Schizosaccharomyces pombe: one gene and its partners. The protein of the gene in region 1 interacts with the protein of each later gene in a biochemical or structural test. Each region holds a gene or a part of one and is shown in the gene's direction. Other genes may lie near its edges.

Region 1 (4,493 bases):
CAATGTTGATTTTCTTGCTCAAAAATTTAGGATAAGATTGAGCGATTGCTTCAGAGGCAGTGTTATCGACCAAAATGGCGGGAAGGGGGGACTTGGCAAGGAAATCTACCAAAGCATCTAATGAATAAGCACCTTGGTTCTGAGAAGTAAGGTTCTTCCATTCAGACAAATTAATGGGCTGATAATCCTTGGAGACGTAGTGACCTTCCATACTAGAAATGGCAACAACGTTAAAAGAGGTAGTGCCATTGGTAGAAGCGTTTTCATTAAAACCCTTAATTTGGTTTAAGAGTTCACCGCCGATGTTTCCTGTACCTATTTATTTTTAAGTGATTAGCTTTCGCTTTACAAAACATTCAAGCATTCAATTTATTGTGTGCTTACCAACAATAGCAACGTTAACGTTAGTTCTGCTAGCTGACATTTTCAAATAGTGGGTGGGAGAGGTAGAGATGCTACGACGTTGGGTCGGATTACGAAAAGCAGTGACAAGGGTTTTCTCAAAGGAAACTTTGGAAGAGGTGATATACGAATTGATAATTTTGTTGTAGGGAAATAAAATTTTAGAAAGTGTAGATAATTTAGGGAGATTTAAATTTTTTCCATGTCTAAATATTGTCATACCAAACATTTTTTAGAAGAGTTTATTTTATACCCAAAAATGAGTTTTCAACCAAGGAAGGATCTTTCTCTCTGATTGATATCAAAGTTTTGCAGGTATATTTGTTGTGAACAAAATGTGAGCGACATTATATTAATCGAGTCAGAACATATTTGTAATAATACTCAAAAGCGCAAAATCTATTACTGTAGCAATAATGATGTTGATTTCGTTTGATACAAATTTTATTTAATTTGATTTTGTTTTATTGAAGCTCCGCTAAATAAACTTAGCTAGAAATCTAGTATAGAAGCCGATTTATATAAATTAATCACAAATTATAAATATAACGCATTAAATTTCATATATGGGATTCAATGGCATACAATCATATATTTACTTTTACAATTAATAAAAACCACTTAATCAACTTATGTGATTTATTAGTGTTTATCGACTCGTGAAAAAAAATATTTAATTTTTTGCTTCGTAAATTAAATTATATGCTGCTAAGTGTCTAAATAAATCACATTCCATCCATCAAATTTGCTTTTTTATTATTAAAAAAAAAAAAAAAAAAAAAAAAAAAAGAGATTTTTGAAGAGAAAAGTCTAGGGTTCAAGAAAATGAAAAACTGTAATGAAACCAATCTGACTATATAATTTGTTAATTATATATGCATATTATTATGATTAGCAAACTCAAATCATAAGCAGGTGCAGCTTTTTCAATTTAAAAGTTCAGATAACATACATTAAATTATTTATTTATTTTCTAAATCAAGCTTAGAAGAAAATAAAATATTATGATAAAATACTGCGAAATTAAAATGTTCTGAATATACCATTTTAAATTCTAATGAAGTTTTCTTGCAAAACAATAAACCGATATTATCTTGAAGTAGGTTGCTATCTCTTAAAATATTTAAATTATTCTTCACCTTTTATTAATAAAGAAAATTGAATCAATTTGCTAGACAATTTGTAGAGCAGCAAGATTTAGAGGGTTGTTTAAAATCAACAATTAATATAAGAAAAGAATTCCAAAGTAATTTAATTATAGGTTTATATACGTTTTTTTAATGTAGTAGTGATTATAGAAACTAGGAATATAGGAAAGTAGGCACATATTATGCATCAAGCTCGTTGTACACCCACCACCCAACCATTCAACTACCTACTACATACAACTCACTCCAGTTTCCTACTGTTAGCCATAACCTTTATTTCTGAGTTAGCAGCAAATATTGCTTTTAAACGGTTTGCCGACTGAATACCGTTCTCCGTCCGTCTTACTTTTCCTCGGAACACTTTACTTGGAAGAAAAATCGTCGAAATTCGGTCGAGTAAAAAATTAATCACAGACCCAAAAATTTGACTTCATAAGTGTCAAAAGCGGTTATATTGGATACCTGTAAAATGTCGAACCCAGATGTGGATTTGGATTCCATTATCGACCGCTTGTTAGAAGGTGAGTGGGGAAAAGCAGACTTGATCATGATGAAGGGTTGAGTTTAGACAAATTTTTGAAAGGAAATTGAAATCAGTTGTTGTTTAATACAATAATTTACATGAAGAAACTGGAAACGACTCTATGTAAATGTTCATTCAACTGTTCATAAAATTTGAGGAAAACCCAGGAAAAAGGGAAAGTTTTTTCTTTGAAAACGTTTAGAAAGCATTTTCTTTGATTCTTGGTCTCATTTGTGATGACACTTGCTTTATATACATAATCACGCATATTTGTATTCAAATGCGATTGCATATTGGCATATATCGTGTTTCTGTGTGAATGATTTTTCTAACCAATACTTCCATCCTTAATTTTACCATTTAAACCATTTAGCTATTTACTAACTTCTTTTAGTCCGTGGTAGTCGTCCAGGTAGACAGGTTCAATTATCTGAAGATGAAATACGATTTTTATGTAACAAAGCACGTGAAATATTTATTAGTCAACCTATCCTTCTAGAGCTTGAAGCTCCTTTGAAAATTTGTGGAGATATTCATGGCCAATATTACGATCTTCTTCGACTTTTTGAGTACGGAGGATTCCCTCCAGAAGCCAACTATCTGTTTCTAGGTGATTATGTTGACAGAGGAAAACAAAGCTTGGAAGTAATTTGTCTTTTGCTCGCTTATAAAATCAAGTACCCCGAAAATTTTTTTATTTTACGTGGAAATCATGAATGCGCCAGTATTAATCGTATCTATGGATTTTACGATGAATGTAAGCGCCGTTATAACATTAAGTTATGGAAAACATTTACAGATTGCTTCAACTGCCTTCCTATAGCAGCTATCATTGATGAAAAAATTTTTACTATGCATGGAGGTCTTTCGCCAGATTTGAACTCTATGGACCAGATCCAAAGAATCATGCGACCGACCGATGTCCCTGATACTGGGTTACTCTGTGATTTACTTTGGTCTGATCCTGACAAGGATCTTACAGGCTGGGGTGATAATGATAGAGGTGTTTCTTTCACGTTTGGACCTGATGTTGTCTCTCGGTTTTTGCACAAACACGATATGGATCTTGTTTGCCGAGCCCATCAGGTTGTGGAAGACGGTTATGAGTTCTTCTCTAAACGTCAGCTAGTCACATTGTTCAGTGCACCTAATTACTGTGGCGAGTTTGATAATGCAGGTGCGATGATGAGTGTTGACGAGAGCTTGTTGTGCAGTTTCCAGATTTTGAAACCGGCTGAAAAAAAACAACGCTACGGATACCAAGGTTCAAGTCAAAATTGGCACATGACTCCACCTCGGAAGAATAAGACAGGAAATTCAAAGTAATTTAAGCTCAATCCAATTTCTCCCATTCTTTTTTGTTGGTTTCATTTTCCACAAGCAACAATTCGACGATAATACCGCTTTATGTAGCTGTTTGAACGGATTTCTTTTCGTCATTTCTCAATGGTCGATGATTAATTGTTCATGAAATAACTGAATGTTCTTTTAAGAAATTATTTTTTGCACTACCATTTCATTATTCATTTTCTTTCTTTTCCGTCAATTGTTAGATGTATATAGACTATTGCCTTTTATTTTTCATCATCTAAATTCCCTTTTTTAACAAAATCTGACGCTTAAAAGACGGATGTTTTTACCGAGCAATAGTTGTTTGAACTACTTTATACTTCTTATCTTCGAGAGAGTGCTTAACGTTGATGATGGCATTTTCCGCTGCAAGCTTCTGTTTGCTATCGGTGGAATCCTTTATAATGACCATTGACAATTTTGTTTAAAGGTCTTTCATTTCAATTATGTATACTGGTCTCACGTTGGAAAATAATTTGCCTATTTAGTTATTGTTTATACTACTATGCAATCAAATTTCCTTTTCAGTGATGCTATTTTATGGTAGTTCACACGTTTATATACAGTAGGCTTATACAATGTTTCGGCATTCCTTGGGATTTGATAATATAAAGCCACCGTTTAATCGTAAGAGAGAGTAAGGTGCTTATTATCATTACAGCTATTTACCGGCGAGTTAGCAGAGTACTCACTAACAAGTCTATGAACACAATAATAATATTAAGAAATTCAGATTTATACTGCTGCTAAGGTACTATCAATTAATAGAAAATTTGTACCACCCAATTCTTGACTAAATTCGGTGAAGATTAGCCGAAAGTTAGCCAATATGTATAAGGGCGAATCATCAGTCTAGCACGAAAAACAAGTTCAACCGCAATTAATCTCACGGGTAATTTTGTTAAAAAGTGCAATGATACAATTTACTTTAGATTAACAGAACGTCACAGCTATTCATATACATCCAGTAAGAGCTTACTCTACGCATTCGCTTTAAATTTAACCGGCAGACTACCTTTATTTTTAGAAGCACAAATCAAACGAGATTCTCATTTTAGAAATCCAAAATT
Region 2 (5,115 bases), 1.7 Mb from region 1:
CAAGTGTTTCACATTGTGGTAATTGGATTGCGTCTTTATCTCGCTCTGGGCATGTCTTAATTCGAAATTCTGAAACCCTCGAGCTTCACCATGTGTTCCTTCTAAACGCTCAATTCATTCAAAAGGTTGTATACTTGTTATGGAAACCCAATTTAGGAGCAGAAAAATGCCATCAAATTTGTGTTGCCTCAGTTGATAAAGTGTTTGTATTAGATATTGTACAACACGATTATTATGCTAGCATACAGTGCGACCAGGATCCTTTGAGTAGTATCAGCTGGAGCCCGTCTGGAGAACTGCTTCTCTGGTCGTCCTTTGATGTACGTTGTATCTAATAAAATTTGCACAACTTTTTGCTTATATATCTGCGATGCTAATAGCAAATTTTTTAGTCGAAGATTACTGTGTGGTCTTTAAATACCCAGAAAGGTTATTTGCTTCCACATGTAAAAACCAATGTTTCGAAAGGTATTTCTTGTCTGATATATCAATTTACTGACTGTTTAGTTTACGCTTTACATCCATCCATGCAATTCTGTACTATATTATCTCGTTTTAACGGTTCGGATTGCCTTCAATTTTACCAAATCAGCAAAAAGGCATGGATACTTCTTAAAGAGTGTAAGCTTCCTACAATAGATTCGACGGGTATCCATTGGTCGCCAGATGGAAACTGGTTAGCTGTTTTGGAAAACGTATTAGATGCAGTTGTTTATATTTATCATCGCACCGGTCTTCTTTTTCACGAATATCGACCAAATAGGTTAATTGAAGTCGGCTTTTCCGATTTTGAGTGGAGTCCCTTTGGCAAATATCTAACTTTGTGCAGTTACCATGATTCAACCTTACATCTACTTGAAACAAAAACTTTTAGTATAGTTTTTCGACTTCACCATTGTTTGCAATATACCAATACTGACTTGGAAATGCATATATGGGAAGAGAAGGAAACAATCTATGAGCAACAAATGACTTATCAAAAAGTACATAAACTCAGAACCGATTTCCCAGAACCCTCCTTTTGTTCAGCATCAAAAATACGTTTCAACTGTGATGAGACGTATGCTGCTACAATTACTTCTAAATATCCTAATGTTCTTTGGCTATGGAATTTACAGAATAAAAAACTGCACACTGTTCTTATTCAAAAACATCATATAGTGTATTTTGAATGGCATCCAGGTCGTCCCGATTTGGTGGTCATTCAAACAAAAATTAGGAAAGAATCCAAAATTCCGTCTAATGCTACATTCCTATACTTCTGGGCTTTAAGTTGGAATACACCCAGGGTCGTTGGAGTTCCAAAAAAAGGTTTTAATATTCAGAAGGTTCAATGGCTTCAACCATCAGAATTCAGTTCTCGTCCAGTTATAGTAATTTGTGGTGAAGATGCATATACCGTTGCTTACATTGTGGAAGATGAAGATGAATCATTTACCGAAGTTACTCAAACTATAATTTCTCAAGAAGTTTTAGATAATGAGTTAGAAACAACGCAAACGATTTCCATACCATCTTAAGGGATTTACTTTCTATCTTAAAAGTCTTAATTATTGTAACCATTTTTAAATATTCTTTTTATTTTACTAACGACCTAATTAATTCGCTTAATGTCTATAATATTTTAATGCACGTTCATTGTTCCCGCATGTAAAACATGAGCACCCTGAGCACCCCGTCAGCTTAAGGCCTTTGCATACCTCTTATAGTTTGAATGTCTTTTTCAGTCTATTCAACTATCTTTTTCTAAATTTAGTACGTACTATTCCTGAGTTTTAATAACTACTCTTTCCTGATTCATAAATTGTAAACTTTGCGCATTTATTTGAGATTAGGGAGTCCTTTGAAAGATATTTAAAACTAATGCAACTTTTTCCCTTTATAAAAAGCATTGTTTATTCTCTATACTTACAGTATTGTTTTCTCATTTTGAAACATAGCGCATTTTACTTCGCCTCCGTATTTAATGCATATAGTTGATAGTTGGGTCCACTTCCACTATATCCTCATCAGATGCAACATTTCGCGCATCGATCGGGTTTATACTACAATTTGTATAATTAACTTTATTCACTAATCGTTGGGATCTTTTGTATAATATAAGTTAAAAAAATGAAACGCTCAAGCAGCGTTTCTGTCGAAGATGAGAAATCAGCAAGGAGAAAATTAGATGTCGTACCCAAACTTCATTTTGTAGGGTGCAGCCATTTAACGGATTATCATTTAATGGAAAAATTAGGAGAAGGAACATTTGGGTATGTGTCAAATATCTGATTTTGAATTTTATCACTAACTTGGTTCACCAGCGAAGTTTACAAATCGCAGCGGCGTAAGGACGGGAAGGTATATGCGCTGAAAAGAATACTCATGCATACTGAAAAGGAAGGTGTAAGTAGATGTTTGTTTAGATTCTTGTTCATTTTGACAGAATGACTTGGGACGCATCGACTTGATTGCGTTAATTGTTTTAATTAATTCATGAATAAATACTAAAGCATTACATTTTAGTTTCCCATTACAGCCATTCGCGAAATAAAAATTTTAAAATCGATTAAACACGAGAATATTATTCCATTATCTGATATGACTGTTGTTCGTGCAGACAAGAAGCATCGACGTCGTGGTTCTATATATATGGTGACTCCTTATATGGATCATGACCTTTCAGGTTTATTAGAAAATCCAAGTGTAAAATTCACGGAGCCGCAAATTAAATGCTATATGAAGCAATTGTTTGCTGGAACCAAATACTTACATGATCAGCTTATCCTTCATAGAGATCTTAAAGCTGCTAATTTATTGATTGATAATCACGGGATTTTAAAAATTGCCGATTTTGGTCTCGCACGTGTGATAACGGAGGAGTCATATGCAAACAAAAATCCTGGCTTGCCTCCACCTAATCGTAGAGAATACACTGGATGTGTGGTTACACGCTGGTATAGATCACCAGAACTTTTGCTTGGCGAGCGTCGTTACACTACCGCTATTGATATGTGGAGCGTGGGATGCATCATGGCCGAAATGTATAAAGGAAGGCCAATCCTTCAAGGAAGTAGTGATTTGGACCAATTGGATAAAATCTTTCGCCTTTGTGGATCACCAACTCAAGCTACTATGCCAAATTGGGAAAAGCTTCCTGGGTGCGAAGGCGTTCGCTCTTTTCCTTCACACCCTAGAACACTTGAAACTGCATTTTTTACTTTCGGAAAGGAAATGACTTCTCTTTGCGGTGCTATTTTGACCCTTAATCCGGATGAACGTTTATCTGCTTCAATGGCTTTAGAGCATGAATATTTTACAACACCACCATATCCAGCAAACCCTTCTGAACTACAGAGCTACAGTGCTTCTCATGAGTACGACAAAAGAAGGAAAAGAGAACAGAGAGATGCTAATTCACATGCGTTTGAACAAACCGCTAATGGTAAGAGACAGTTCCGGTTCATGACTCGTGGACCTAGCGATCCGTGGTATGGAATTCGTCGGCCAAATTATAACTCACAACCGCAATACCAACGTGGTTCGTACAATCGTGAAGGCGGTAACATGGATAGAAGTCGTAATGTTAATTATCAGCCTAAGCGTCAGCAAAATTTTAAACCTTTAACGTCTGATTTGCCACAGAAAAATTCCGAATTTTCTGAAACTAACGCTATGAATCAAACTTCTAATCATTCTCATGCAGACGGTCAACGCTACTACCGGCCTGAACAAGACCGATCTCAACGATTAAGAAACCCCTCGGATTACGGCCGTCAAGGAAGACAATCTTCCCAGTCTCAACAACCAGCATGGAATGTGTCCTCCAGATACCAGAATAATAGCAAAGTACAAACGACATCTCGAGCAAGCGAAAATGCGGATACCAACAAAACACAACACAATATTAAGTACATTGACTCATATGTTCCTGAATACTCAATTGCTAGACAATCTGCCAACCAAAAGACCAACGAGCAACATCCATCTTCTACTAGCTTGCACCAACAATCCACATCTGATCTGAAGTCACCCTCTTTTCATGAAAATTCCAACGTTGATGACACTCCTAAATGATCCATACGAATGTGCTCTTTTTACTTTTTGGCTTTCTCTTCATATCTTAAATTAACTTAATTTGCTGAGCATCCCATAATATTTTTAATGGCCTTTCCGCGTGATGGCGACTGTTCATTAAAGGCCAAAGTTGGTTTTCTAGCTCAAAATAAAATTTAAAACAAAAAGGAAAAAGCAAAGAAAATTAATTATATTTCTTTTTTCTTTAAAAGCTTGACCTTAGCAAATTGAGCACGGAGATTTTTATTTGTATTATTTATTTACTAAATTTATAATCTTAAAACATGACTTGTAAGTAATGTATTGGAAAGAAAATTACTTTATTTTCAACAAAACTGCTTTTTTCCTTGCTTGTGTTTACATATTTACGGTATTTTCTTCCCTTCCCATACCCATGTTTTGACCTCGGTTAAATACCTCTTGTTTGTATACGGCTTGACCAGCCCTCTCCCACCTACCTACTACAAAACCCGTCATCCAAAAACAGAGTCAAAATAACACAAATACCATTAATAATTACCTAATAAATATAATAATCAGTACTCTAAAAATTATTAAATTGTTCAAATGGTTGAAAATCAAGGGAATGTCGAAGCACATGGTAAACCCAAAAAGGTCATACTTAGCCTTTCATTAAAGGAATCTTCAAAAATTAATGATTCTCAAAATGTTTCCAATGTGTCTTCTAAAGAAAAATGCGAAACTGAAGCATTGCTTCGTGAAGAGAATAAAGAAAACCTGAGTAGTGACAGTATACGACAAATGATATTTGGAGATGAAATGGCGGGCTTTGTGGATACTGGTGAAAAACCACCGTGTTCTTATGCTACATTAATCGGTTTGGCGATCCTACAATCACATAACAAGCAACTGACTTTAAGCGGGATTTATACGTGGATTCGCAACACGTTTCGCTACTACCTCAACCATGATGGTGGTTGGCAAAATAGCATTAGGCACAACCTTTCATTAAACAAAGCCTTTATCAAAGTAGAAAAACCCAAGGGTAAAACTTTAAAAGGTCATTATTGGACAATTGATCCTGACCATATGCAG
Region 3 (4,630 bases), on another chromosome or scaffold:
AGCATTATTGTCAAAAGAAGACGAAAACTCAAAAATTTTTTTAAGTTAAAAGACAATGGAAAATGGAAGCACTCCATTTTCCATTTTCACGCTGTCTGTAATTCACCAATCCATCGTAATGATGGAAGCTTGAACAAGCTAGTTAATTGTTATGTATGTTTTTCCTCATACATTGGAAGTTAGACTATGAATAGAAATAATAACTGGACTATACCTCTTTAGAAACAAATACAACAAAAAGCAAAAAGAATAAAAGGAAGCCTACAGCACCCCGGATTCCCATGTTGTCTCCAACCATAGTACTAACGAGGCCCTCAGACGCTTAACTGCAGTGATCGGACGGGAACTGGTGTTTTCACCTAGGTATGGCCGTAGACATTTGTTGTGTTAAATAATAGTATTTATTCTGTTATTCAAGTAGGTTAACTAGTGAGTAGTTCATAGAAAAATAACTTGAGAAATGACAATCTTGATATGAATGATCATTGAAATAATTTGAAAACTAAAAAAAAAAAATTGTTCAGATTGATAGGAATGCTACGTTAACAAAAATTGACGATTTACTCGCTCGTACAAAATTGATTTTTATATGCATTCTCAAGTCTAGTGAACTCAACAGCATCTATTCCCTGCGATGCTATTCCTAGTACGAGAATAGGAGTAGTTCACTCGAATGTCTCGTTTCATTGGGGTAGGGAAGGAAACACTTATATATTTACCATACTTTAGTATTTTTATTCGTAACTCTTTTCAAGGAATTTTTTTCAATCCAGTATCATTAGTGCTGTGTCTAAATAAAGAATAAATACCAATTTCAAACCAGTCAATGCATTCGTTTTCGCAACCCACCCACTAGCCTAAGCTATGAAGCCTCAAAAATAATTTGGCGTACAGACATTTTAATCAACATTAAGCTTCACAATAAAATGTCAACGAATGTTTAGTAAAAAGACATTCTGACTATTAACAATTAAAAGACACTACATTTTGTAAAATATATATTATGTACTTAATCTCGTAATGAACAAGCAAGTCCCGAGTGGCTCAATCGGTTTAGAGCGTCTGACTCTTATGATGGTCATCAGAAGGTTGCGAGTTCGAGTCTCGCCTTGGGAGTTAGTTTTTACATTTTTGAGAAATGAGATGCACCGATCACTGACTCAAAGGTTTTGTAAAATAAAGGCTTCATTTAAATTTTCGTTCTTGTATAAAGTAGAAATCAACTGCGAACCCTAAAATGTAACGACCGATAGATCCATACTGTTAGCACGTTGCTGTAAATTTTTTAACTTATTGGGAGATTATGAAATGAGATTGATGTTAGAAAGCTTATAAGCAACATATACAATTACGCTTTTTTTCAGAAATTTGGGTAAGTATCATTTATTTTCTTTGTTTATTGTCAAACCCACTTTCCGATGTACATTAAAGAATCGTTAAATAAAATTACGACCTTTTGTACTTTCGTAGCTTCACGTACCGGTACATTAAACAAAATTTTCAAGTGGTGTTATGTTTCGTTATGTGTGTTTGCTACACGGTATTTCCTCGACCGGATCTCCACCTGTCGGTACATTCCAAAAAAGCAGTAAAAGTGTTAAATTCTCAGAAAGCGGCTGAATTTTCTTCGAAAATTTTGCTATTTAGAAGCGCCTTTACGGTTATATAAGAGCTGCTAAACAGCTTCAAATTGAACTCCCTTTGTCTCCAAATTTGTAGGCTTGTTTTGAAAGCTTCAAAGAAGAAAGGGTTGGAGCGCTCCAAATAGCCCTCAAGATGAAAGGGATTAAAAGCAAAATGGTAAGATCCATATCTAGTGTTTATTTGATTAACCAGAATCTAGCTTTCTCGAGGGAAATCTCAAGATACCCAGAAGTCTAGCAAGAAGAAGGAAAGCAAAAAATCGAATTCCCATGACTCTAGCAAGGCTCCGAAAGAGGTACGGAAAAGGTTTTTACTTACTTTTAACATTTTCATAGTCTCCCTCGACGGATCCCAATGGTTCTGTGATTGGTGCCCAAAACGACTTTCTTACTGTTCCAAAACATTCAGGAAAGAAAGTACCTATTGATACCACACCAACTCCTAGAGATGAGATCTTATTAGAGAATGTCAGGACTGTTCGTAAACAACGTTCATCCCTTTACCATATATCTGAAAATCGAAACCTGGTCCGTCTTCCATCCTTTACTGGTATGTTTTATGGATACACTTCATTGATTGTTTTAAGTAGTTATAAAAGATTTTGTTTCTTATTAGAATGTCATGAAATTGGATGGTGTTCAATGCGGCACATGCTGGTGTCGCTTGTGGATTTACTGTTCAGCTTGATGTGTCTGATATCGAAAAAGGAATCCTTCCATTTTTTCTCACATTTCATTTTATTTTACTAAGAGATGATTTAAACCACAAACATTGAATAGGATTTTCTTTCTGATTTAATGTACTTGGTGTTGACAAACACTGAGGTGTTATCAATATACTTTGTTGTCAACCAATTTAATTTACTAACCTGTCTATTTAGATGTTCCTGTTAATAAATGGCACTCTCTGGCGTTGGAAAAATTAGAACAATGTTGCGTTGTTTTCGATTTCAACGATCCCTCCACCGATCTTTACGGAAAAGAAGTGAAGCGAGAGGCTCTTCAAGATCTCATTGATTTAATATCTGTTCGAAAGGAAGCAATTGATGAGTCATTGTATCCATCCATTGTTCATATGTTTGCAGTAAATGTGTTTCGTCCTTTACCTCCTCCTTCTAATCCTCCCGGTGAAATCATGGATCTTGAAGAAGATGAGCCGGCTTTGGAAGTTGCTTGGCCCCATCTTCACCTTGTTTACGATTTTTTCTTAAGATTTTTTGAATCTCCGTCTTTGAATACATCCGTAGCCAAGGTGTATATTAATCAAAAATTTATTAGGAAATTACTTGTATTGTTCGACAGCGAAGATCCTAGGGAACGTGATTTTCTAAAGACTACACTTCATAGAATATACGGAAAGTTTCTTTCTCTTCGTGCGTTCATAAGGCGCTCAATTAATAATTTATTTTTGCAGTTTGTCTATGAGAACGAGCAATTTAATGGTATTGCCGAACTGTTGGAAATCCTCGGGAGTATCATTAATGGATTTGCCCTACCACTAAAAGAGGAACACAAAATATTCTTGTCACGTGTTCTTATTCCTTTACATAAAGCCAAATCCCTTCCCCTTTATTACCCTCAAATTGCTTATGGAATTGTTCAATTTGTTGAAAAGGATTCATCTGTTACAGAAGAGGTATGTATATTTCCTAGTGTTTCTTACGTTTTATCTAACGATGACAATATAGGTTGTCTTGGGCTTACTTCGATACTGGCCGAAAGTAAATAGCTCAAAAGAAGTCTTATTTTTAAATGAAATTGAAGATATTATTGAAGTGATGGAACCTTCAGAGTTTTTAAAGATCCAGGTGCCGCTCTTCCACAAGTTGGCAACATCCATATCTAGCCAAAATTTCCAAGTTGCTGAAAGAGCTTTATATTTTTTTAACAACGACTATTTCGTGCATTTGGTTGAAGAAAACGTTGACATTATACTACCAATTATATATCCCGCACTCTTTGAAATTTCAAAAAGTCACTGGAATAGGTAAGTAGTTACTCATTTAAAATCCCTTTTTATTTTCTTTATTTAAGATAAAGAAAGTGGTTTATTAGTTCTTGCTGACGTTTTGTTAGAGTTATACATTCTATGGTTTGTAACGTCTTAAAATTGTTCATGGACATTAATCCTTCTTTATTCGATGAAGTTGATGCTGAGTATTCTGAGAGTCGTCGGAAAAAAGAAGATGAAGAAATTATACGAGAAGAAAGATGGACTATACTAGAAAACATCGCTAAAGAGAATGCTATGAAACTTAAATCTCAAAACCCTACTACTGTGCACTCTACTACTGAGAGACTAAAAAAACTTTCACTTGACTACACCAATGGTTAGGACTTGCATATTTTAATAATGATCCATATATTGTACTTAGTCTCTAATATTCCCTCTTTTACATTTTACATACTATATCATTTTCAGTTAGTATTTCCTTTTCTTTTAATTGATTGTAATAAAATATAAATCGGTAACTTGGTAGCAATCTTCTTTTCAAATTGAATGTTGCAATCTCAAGTGGGCCTAAGCTAGAAGGGTTCATTTTTTTGTTTGCATACCCCAGCTTAACCTACCACTGAGAGCCAACTGTAGGTATGCCAGTGAGGTGCTCCTCAACTTCAGCAAAAGCACTAAAATTGGCATAATATAATTGTTATTGAATATGTCTTGCATTCAAATTATTTCATCTAGTCAAACTTCAATTGCTGGTCATAGAAAGCTATGCAACAAATTGTTTACCCTACGGACGCAGGAAGGATTTGAAACCGACATCCTAAGGGCGCTAAATATTATATTAACTGTTAAAAAAGGAAACTCAAATGCTGACCGCGTTTTGAGGTTCCTAGTAACCTTTGTTAATTACCTTCAGCAGAAGGATCCTGAGATAGACATTGTTCAACCTATCTTAAAACATATACTTCGTGGGTTAGATGCCAAAGATAAAACTGTAAGATATCGTTGCTGCCAAATTATTGCCAGAGTGGTTAAT
Region 4 (6,559 bases), on another chromosome or scaffold:
ATACTTTTTCTATTTTTATCAAATCTTCCTCAGAGAAGATGTCTGACGCCCTTTTTATCATGTCACACACATTATGCTAAGTAAAGGATTCTAGTGAAATACAGTAGTTATGCAACTATTAATAAGTCATTATTAAATTGAAACATGTTATGTCGTTTGAAACTGGATAACATTACGATACCGGAGATTTGTGACCATTTATATCGTAACATTGACTAAATCCAAATGGGAGAATGATATTGGGCTAACCAAGTCTGCTCGTATTTGAAGGCTTATACCAAATGCAACGAATAGAATATCATACCATACTACGGGATACACGGGATTTACAAATATCCAATTGTAAGAATTGTCAATTTCCCGGATTTAAAAAAAAAAAAAGAATGTTAGTATTGATGACAAAAGCCTTACTTGTTTGAAATACTGAACAATTATCATTCGTTTATACAACGCTATCCTTCCTGTGCCGAATATAAACATTTTACGTCCTTTTGTATTTCCATTCTTCAAAGAAATCCTAATCGTGGTATATGATTTATCATTCTAATAAAAAATATTAAGACAAGCGAGCTCAGCCATACTTGTTTTTTTTTTACTCATTTAAATGTTGTACAAATGCTAGTTATGTTACTAAGCTTTACTGTGATTTGAAAGCATTAGTGTTGTTAATAACACATATGGATTATAGTACATAATATATCAATTTCAGGTCTTAGCAACGCAATCGTAATCTGACTTAAAAGGATTTATAATTTCTATTTGTGATCAATATATCATCGTAAAAGGAAAAGTACACGAATTAATGTCTGGTCAATTTCACTATGGCTAAGTATAACCATGGAAATGAACAGGAAATAGTTCAGAATGAGCTAGCTTATATTTGCTTAGCCGGTAACCTTTTATAACCACTTTTGAATAGTAAACAATGATGGAACAGGTTACGAGAACCTCAATGGAAAGTAGAACATAGAATTACATGTGGTTGTAAGTTCATGGCAATATCCATCAAATTATAGAAATACTAACAATAAACAGTTTTTTTCTCGATTATTGATTATAAGCCGCTGGAATGATATTAAATAAACACACTCCTTTAAAGGAATATTCACGAGTATTATTATAATATACAATTTGCGAAATAATAATTTATAACAACCTCGCTACAATTTACTTATACTTCTTACAACCGCACATTGCTTTCAAGTTAATCCATTAAATTATGCCAAAAGAACAGTGCGGCTCATTTGACAAAACATTCAAGTGAATCTTAGATATCTATACCTTTTTGAAGTTTGTATTCCTCCATCACAGTGCGCATATGCTTGTGATGCTCATTACCTTATTGTTTACAGAAAACCCAATATTACAAATAGACCCAGTTGAACAAAAGTACCCCCAATTTACCTTTACTTTATACAATTTGTTAATGATAAGAATGAACAACAGTCATATTGTTCATTGGAACTTTTACAAATAGGATCTTTATTCATTATTTATTCAGATTAGCTAACAGGAATGATTACAGAAAGCATCATCGTAGTCTACCGTATCCTAAAAAGGCTTACAGACTCCTTAAATAATACAACGAAAGGCGTTCTAGGCCGCAAAAAGAAACTCACCGCCATAAATTTAACGAACTATCATTACAATTTCTTATGTTCGTCTTAATCTAAAAACAACAAAGTTCGTGTGTCGACGTGCTTTGTTTAACTTGACGATGCCAACATCGCCTCGTCGCAATAGTATAGCGACGACCGATAATGTTATAGGAAGAAACAAAAGTAGGAAGCGTCCACACTCGCTTGGAGGACCTGGTGCGCTTCAAGAACTTAAAGAACACACAAATCCAGCAAAAGGCATTCTAAAGAGTTATTCATCCTTTTCCGTAGATCCCGCTTTCACAGGAGATGAAGACTTTAATGATATACACACACAAATAAATAACACGGTCATTGGAATCTCTAGTAATGTTATGGCTGCGTCAAAGAGACTTCAAATGGAAGACCTACAGCAATTGTCGCGTGAGACGTCTAGAAAAAGTTTGAACAGAAGAGTTTCCTTTGCTAGTCATGCACGTGTACGTTGGTATCCTAAAGATCACCAGAGTGACTCGGAAAAGTCGACATCTAATCACAGCACACCTGAGCGAACTTTTGCATCTGATGCTAAAAACCATTCCCCTAAAGGTCCAACAACGACAAGTTTTTCGAGAAACGAAACACAATCATCTCCCCATAGTCATAGTGCCTCGATTATTTCAGACGGTAGTGATATGGACATTGCGTCCCCTATTCGGTCAACCGAATCAGATATGGTCTCTGAGGCATTGAATGCTGGCCATCCGCCTCCTTCTCTGTATCCGGAGAATGATGATTTAAGTATCCAGAATCCAACAAAAGCCTTACCTGAAGCAGAAAAGGCACTTGATGTTCACGATGCCACGAGAGAGCAGGTTAATGATAGAGAGGAAACTAACATGGATTTGACTATCCAATTCCAAGAAGCAGATTCGTTTTTATCACATTCCGAATCAATTAAAGGTCTTAGCTCTAGCGAGCAAGGTACTGTTTATAGTTTAAAAGCTTCTCATGACCCTTCAAACCAAACTCAACTTTCATCCCCTAACAAATCATCTAGTCCAACTAGTATTGAAATTTCGGATTTCTCCAAAAATAACGAAAATCACGATCAGTCGGAAAATAAAGAAGAAGAAGAAGATATGATGCTAACTCGACCTATTGAAATTCCGCAACACTTTTCCCCCATCGCTCGCCCTTTAACTTCCCAAGAAGCTATTGTTGACATGGATATTACCTCTAATAACATTAATTTATCTCCAGTGTCTCATTTTTCCAATGGCTTAGATTTACAAAACTTAGAAGAAGCGCCTATGAACCTTACCCGACCAATTAATGCTAATCCTCACTTAACTAATCATTCTCCGAACGATTTAACTAATGGAGAAGAAGAAATGGATACCACCTCCGCCTTTAATATCGAAAACTCACATTTAACTCTCCTTTCCCCCATTCGTCCATCGTCACGATCCATGGAAGAGCAAATAATGGACTTGACACAACCCATTAGCTCTACAAATGCACCCACCCATTTGAATGAAGATGATTTAAATCAATTTACCTCAAATATATCCTCTTCTTCAAAACCGAGAAAGGATAATAACAAGACTGCCAATTCTTCAAAGCCCATTCCCGACAGTGAGGACTTTATGGACATTACTAGACCTTTCAATATATTATCCCCTTCTAAAGAAGCACTTTCCGAAGAGCAACCAATGGAATTAACCTCAACAGTTTTTCCTTGTGAGAATTCTACATCTCATCTTGAGGTGGAAGAAGCTGCTATGGACGAAACAGTGGCTTTTCAAATCCGTGGAAACAATGTTGAGTTACCTTCAGCAGACAAGGAAAATGCCGAGAGAGAAGAAATACCCTCATATAGTGATAAGTCAGAAAATTTCAATACTACCTCCTTTACCAACCATGAACGGTCACCAAATGGGAACAATAATCTAAAATTTTCGAAAGATCCTAACTCTTCTTCTCCAAGTAGACATGTGGTAGCGACTCCTACTGATAAGCTTGGTACTCGGAAAAGACGCTTAAGATATAGCACTTCAAGTTTTGATCAAAGTACCTTGCGTCGCAATCGTCTTGCAACAATCCGTAATGCTCGAAAATCAATTTCAACTTTGAATGACAGAGAACTTCTACCGGTTAACTTTTTCGAAAAAAAAGTAAATTCTGGTCTCTATAAATCGGTTGAGCGATCCGAAAATTATCGTCTAGGAGCTACTCCACTTACCGCAGAGAAGCCATTCACCACAGAAAAGCCGCTTTCAAGTCTTCCTGAAGAAGTTTCAAGGCAACCCACTGATGACAAAGGCGAACAAGTGTCTAATGCAGATGTTGATTCTGGATTGAGTAAAACAGAGCGACTAACAATTCAACAGACTAACGAAATTAAGCACGTTCCAACTAATACGACTTCTTCTGTTAAGCTTCCTCAACAACCTTCGAATGAGGATGAAAAAGAGCGTATAACAACTGCAGATTACGCCGATTCAACTAGTTTGGAGCGATTGGAATCTCAGGAACCCAACCGGAATGAACTTGTTCAAGTTGGTTCGTCAAATGCAGGTAATACAACTTCCGTGGGCATGAATGAACATGAGAAGTCACCCGTCAAATTATCAAAAGGTGTGAGCAATGTTGATACATCGTTGGGCGCTTCGACTATTAACACGAACATTTTGAATCAAGACTCTGGTCCAAATGAAGAAATACCTGTTGGTAATGAGCCAGAATTTGATACGATGCCAACTCTACCAAACGTCGAGCCGATAAGCCTATCAGATTTTCTTAAAATGACCGGAATTGAATTTTTGGATAATCTTACTATTGCTAAAAGACGAGAAACCCTATTGCCAAATGCTGAAGAAAATAAGAAATGCAGTATCCAAGAACTTTTGGAATCTTTTTACATACAATTCCCTTTGTTAGAGTTATACAAATTTAGTTGTCAGCAATTACAGGATTATATTGCCGAAGGGAAGGATTTTGTTACTAAAATTGAAGAGGAAACTTTGAAAGAGAACCCGTTACTATTCTATGAGTATAGGAAAGCATCCAGTGATATGAGGGTTTTAATGGATTCACAATTTTTAATGATGAAAACTTTTGCTAGACTTCAAGCAAAAGGTGATTGGTACGAATGGCGTGAGGGTTTGATGCAAGGAATCAAACATGAATTAAATTTAAATTTAACTGGGATGCAAAGAAGCTTGACCCATTTAATGGATGTCGCGAATGTTATTCATCCGTATGCGCAGGAAATTCAAGAGAGATACAATGGTAGTATTACTACAGTACAGACATTAAAGAAGCAGAAGGAATTTGCAAATCAGTATGACTCAACTCTTCTAGCGCAGGCGCAAGAAAAGTTAGAGAAACTCAAGGTTGAGGTTGAGAGGAGACGTCGGCTTCTGAGTGAAAAAGAAGAAAGAAGAAAGGAGTTGGCAATAAAGATAGAACAAGTGACAAACTCTTGCTCTGATTTGGAATTACGTACCAACGCTGAACAAGATTTTTATGCGAAAAACCAAGATTTTGAATTTGACGAAATTAAGCGATACGAGGAGCAGTTGTTAAATCTTAAAAATGAACTTGGCTGGACCATAGTTTCTTTGACCGCGGGCGGAATTAAATTAGCTACAAATAACACTGCTCTTTCTCCTTATTCAGCCGAGGTTACGGTTGAGATTTTGAGGCAAAATTTCCAAGTTAACGTTGATATTGCCTGTAAGTTCCCTAACGAAAGTAATGCTTGCAGCTCAAATGTGCTCGAGCATGTTGCATCGTCGTTTTCTAAATGGCATTCCAAGGTATTTTCTAGGAACTTACGTCTTCTGAAGAAGTATCTTAACGATGTTTCAATTTGTTGGGAACAAATTGTTTATCTTGTCCAAGATTTCCAGCGATTATGGTACCATTGGCCCTTTTTGTCAGTTGAAAATGATGATAAGTCTATTATCATAAATGTTGAGCTATACCTGCGTTCGGTATCATCTAAGGTAAAGGTTGTTTTCGGTCTCCCAATTGATACTATCTACCAAACTACTGAAGTAGGAAAGTTTTATGCTTCTACATCAGTCGCTGTGAAACAGATGTATGCGGAAAGTGAAGGAGACTCTTATGTTAGTGAGGTTTTGAATACTCTTTCGGAAGTGGTGCATTGTACATCAACTTATGCCCTTTCGTCTGCTTGTCTTACTGTTTGGAACAAATACAGCTAGATATTAATGGGAATGATTAGCTATGCTGCGCCGAAGCGACTTCCTTTCCCAATATTCATTTTGTGCTTAACGCTTGGAAATATCATTTATCCTTGTTGTATACTAGTTCATTCGTTTTCGTTAATTCACATGTTACTAAAGAAAATGTATATATTTTATGCTATTTAATATTGGTGAAATAATAATGGTAGATCTTGACTGATAATGAAATTATAAATCTTTTTGTTAAACCCGTAATGCGCTACAAAATAAAGTGTTTAGTTAATATATAAATAAACTATCCATAATTAAAAGATTCTCGGATGTGCAAATCTGGTGTAGTAAAGTTTCACATTGATCTGATAAGTACGGGATCGACATCTTACGTTCTCCTAGATACATATATACACAATCGATAGAAGAGACCGATCCTAAACAAAACAAAGATCTTAACTAATTTAAGAGAATTGGACGGATATTTAGATTTTTATAATTGAAAGTCAGACGCTGCTTACAAAATTATGAGTTTGCAAGCTCAAATTTTGCAGAATTGAAATAGGAGGTTTTTTAGATTTTTAGGCTTCGCTCGGATTATTAAGTTATCCATTTTTTATTTTTGAACACAGTTTAATTAAGTAAGTCAAAGTTCCTGAACCTCGTCTGCAATTTCTGATAAAAATATTAATACACTTAAAAATAGATTGCATCCGCAATCGAAAGTTCACAGACAGCCGGTTGAGCCCTAATTTCCAGGTTTTCTACATATTT

Evidence for each region.
Region 2: of the proteins of dis2 (region 1) and cdk9, one has a biochemical effect on the other in vitro, tested with the Schizosaccharomyces pombe proteins (one study listed by BioGRID).
Region 3: the proteins of dis2 (region 1) and par1 form a complex in vitro, tested with the Schizosaccharomyces pombe proteins (one study listed by BioGRID).
Region 4: the proteins of dis2 (region 1) and spc7 form a complex in vitro, tested with the Schizosaccharomyces pombe proteins (one study listed by BioGRID).

The regions. Positions count from the first base shown.
Region 1 is NC_003423.3:3,172,625-3,177,117, reverse strand, and holds dis2 (serine/threonine protein phosphatase PP1 catalytic subunit Dis2), read left to right. Parts: upstream 1-2,019; coding exon 2,020-2,071; exon of another isoform or gene 2,072-2,139; intron 2,140-2,420; exon of another isoform or gene 2,421-2,467; coding exon 2,468-3,399; 3' UTR 3,400-3,953; downstream 3,954-4,493. Other genes in the region: hom6 (homoserine dehydrogenase), read right to left, coding at 1-315, 385-424. UniProt on the Schizosaccharomyces pombe protein: Essential role in cell cycle control. PP1 is perhaps required for exit from mitosis.
Region 2 is NC_003423.3:1,468,568-1,473,682, forward strand, and holds cdk9 (P-TEFb-associated cyclin-dependent protein kinase Cdk9), read left to right. Parts: upstream 1-2,000; 5' UTR 2,001-2,112; coding exon 2,113-2,255; exon of another isoform or gene 2,256-2,306; coding exon 2,307-2,388; exon of another isoform or gene 2,389-2,508; coding exon 2,509-4,059; 3' UTR 4,060-4,615; downstream 4,616-5,115. Other genes in the region: wdr8 (WD repeat-containing protein), read left to right, coding at 1-320, 393-468, 508-1,520; DNA-binding forkhead transcription factor, meiotic Mei4, read left to right, coding at 4,627-5,115. UniProt on the Schizosaccharomyces pombe protein: Component of the positive transcription elongation factor b (P-TEFb) which consists of cdk9 and pch1, and which phosphorylates the C-terminal domain (CTD) of RNA polymerase II and spt5.
Region 3 is NC_003421.2:1,474,001-1,478,630, forward strand, and holds par1 (serine/threonine protein phosphatase PP2A regulatory subunit B-56 Par1), read left to right. Parts: upstream 1-1,572; 5' UTR 1,573-1,776; coding exon 1,777-1,800; intron 1,801-1,843; coding exon 1,844-1,939; intron 1,940-1,979; coding exon 1,980-2,193; intron 2,194-2,524; coding exon 2,525-3,279; intron 3,280-3,331; coding exon 3,332-3,630; intron 3,631-3,719; coding exon 3,720-3,978; 3' UTR 3,979-4,103; downstream 4,104-4,630. Other genes in the region: condensin complex non-SMC subunit Cnd3, read left to right, coding at 4,304-4,630. UniProt on the Schizosaccharomyces pombe protein: The B regulatory subunit might modulate substrate selectivity and catalytic activity, and might also direct the localization of the catalytic enzyme to a particular subcellular compartment. Has a role in cell shape control and septum formation.
Region 4 is NC_003421.2:785,773-792,331, reverse strand, and holds spc7 (outer kinetochore KNL network protein, KNL-1 family member, blinkin, Spc7), read left to right. Parts: upstream 1-1,671; 5' UTR 1,672-1,717; coding exon 1,718-5,812; 3' UTR 5,813-6,043; downstream 6,044-6,559. UniProt on the Schizosaccharomyces pombe protein: Acts as a component of the outer kinetochore KNL1 complex that serves as a docking point for spindle assembly checkpoint components and mediates microtubule-kinetochore interactions.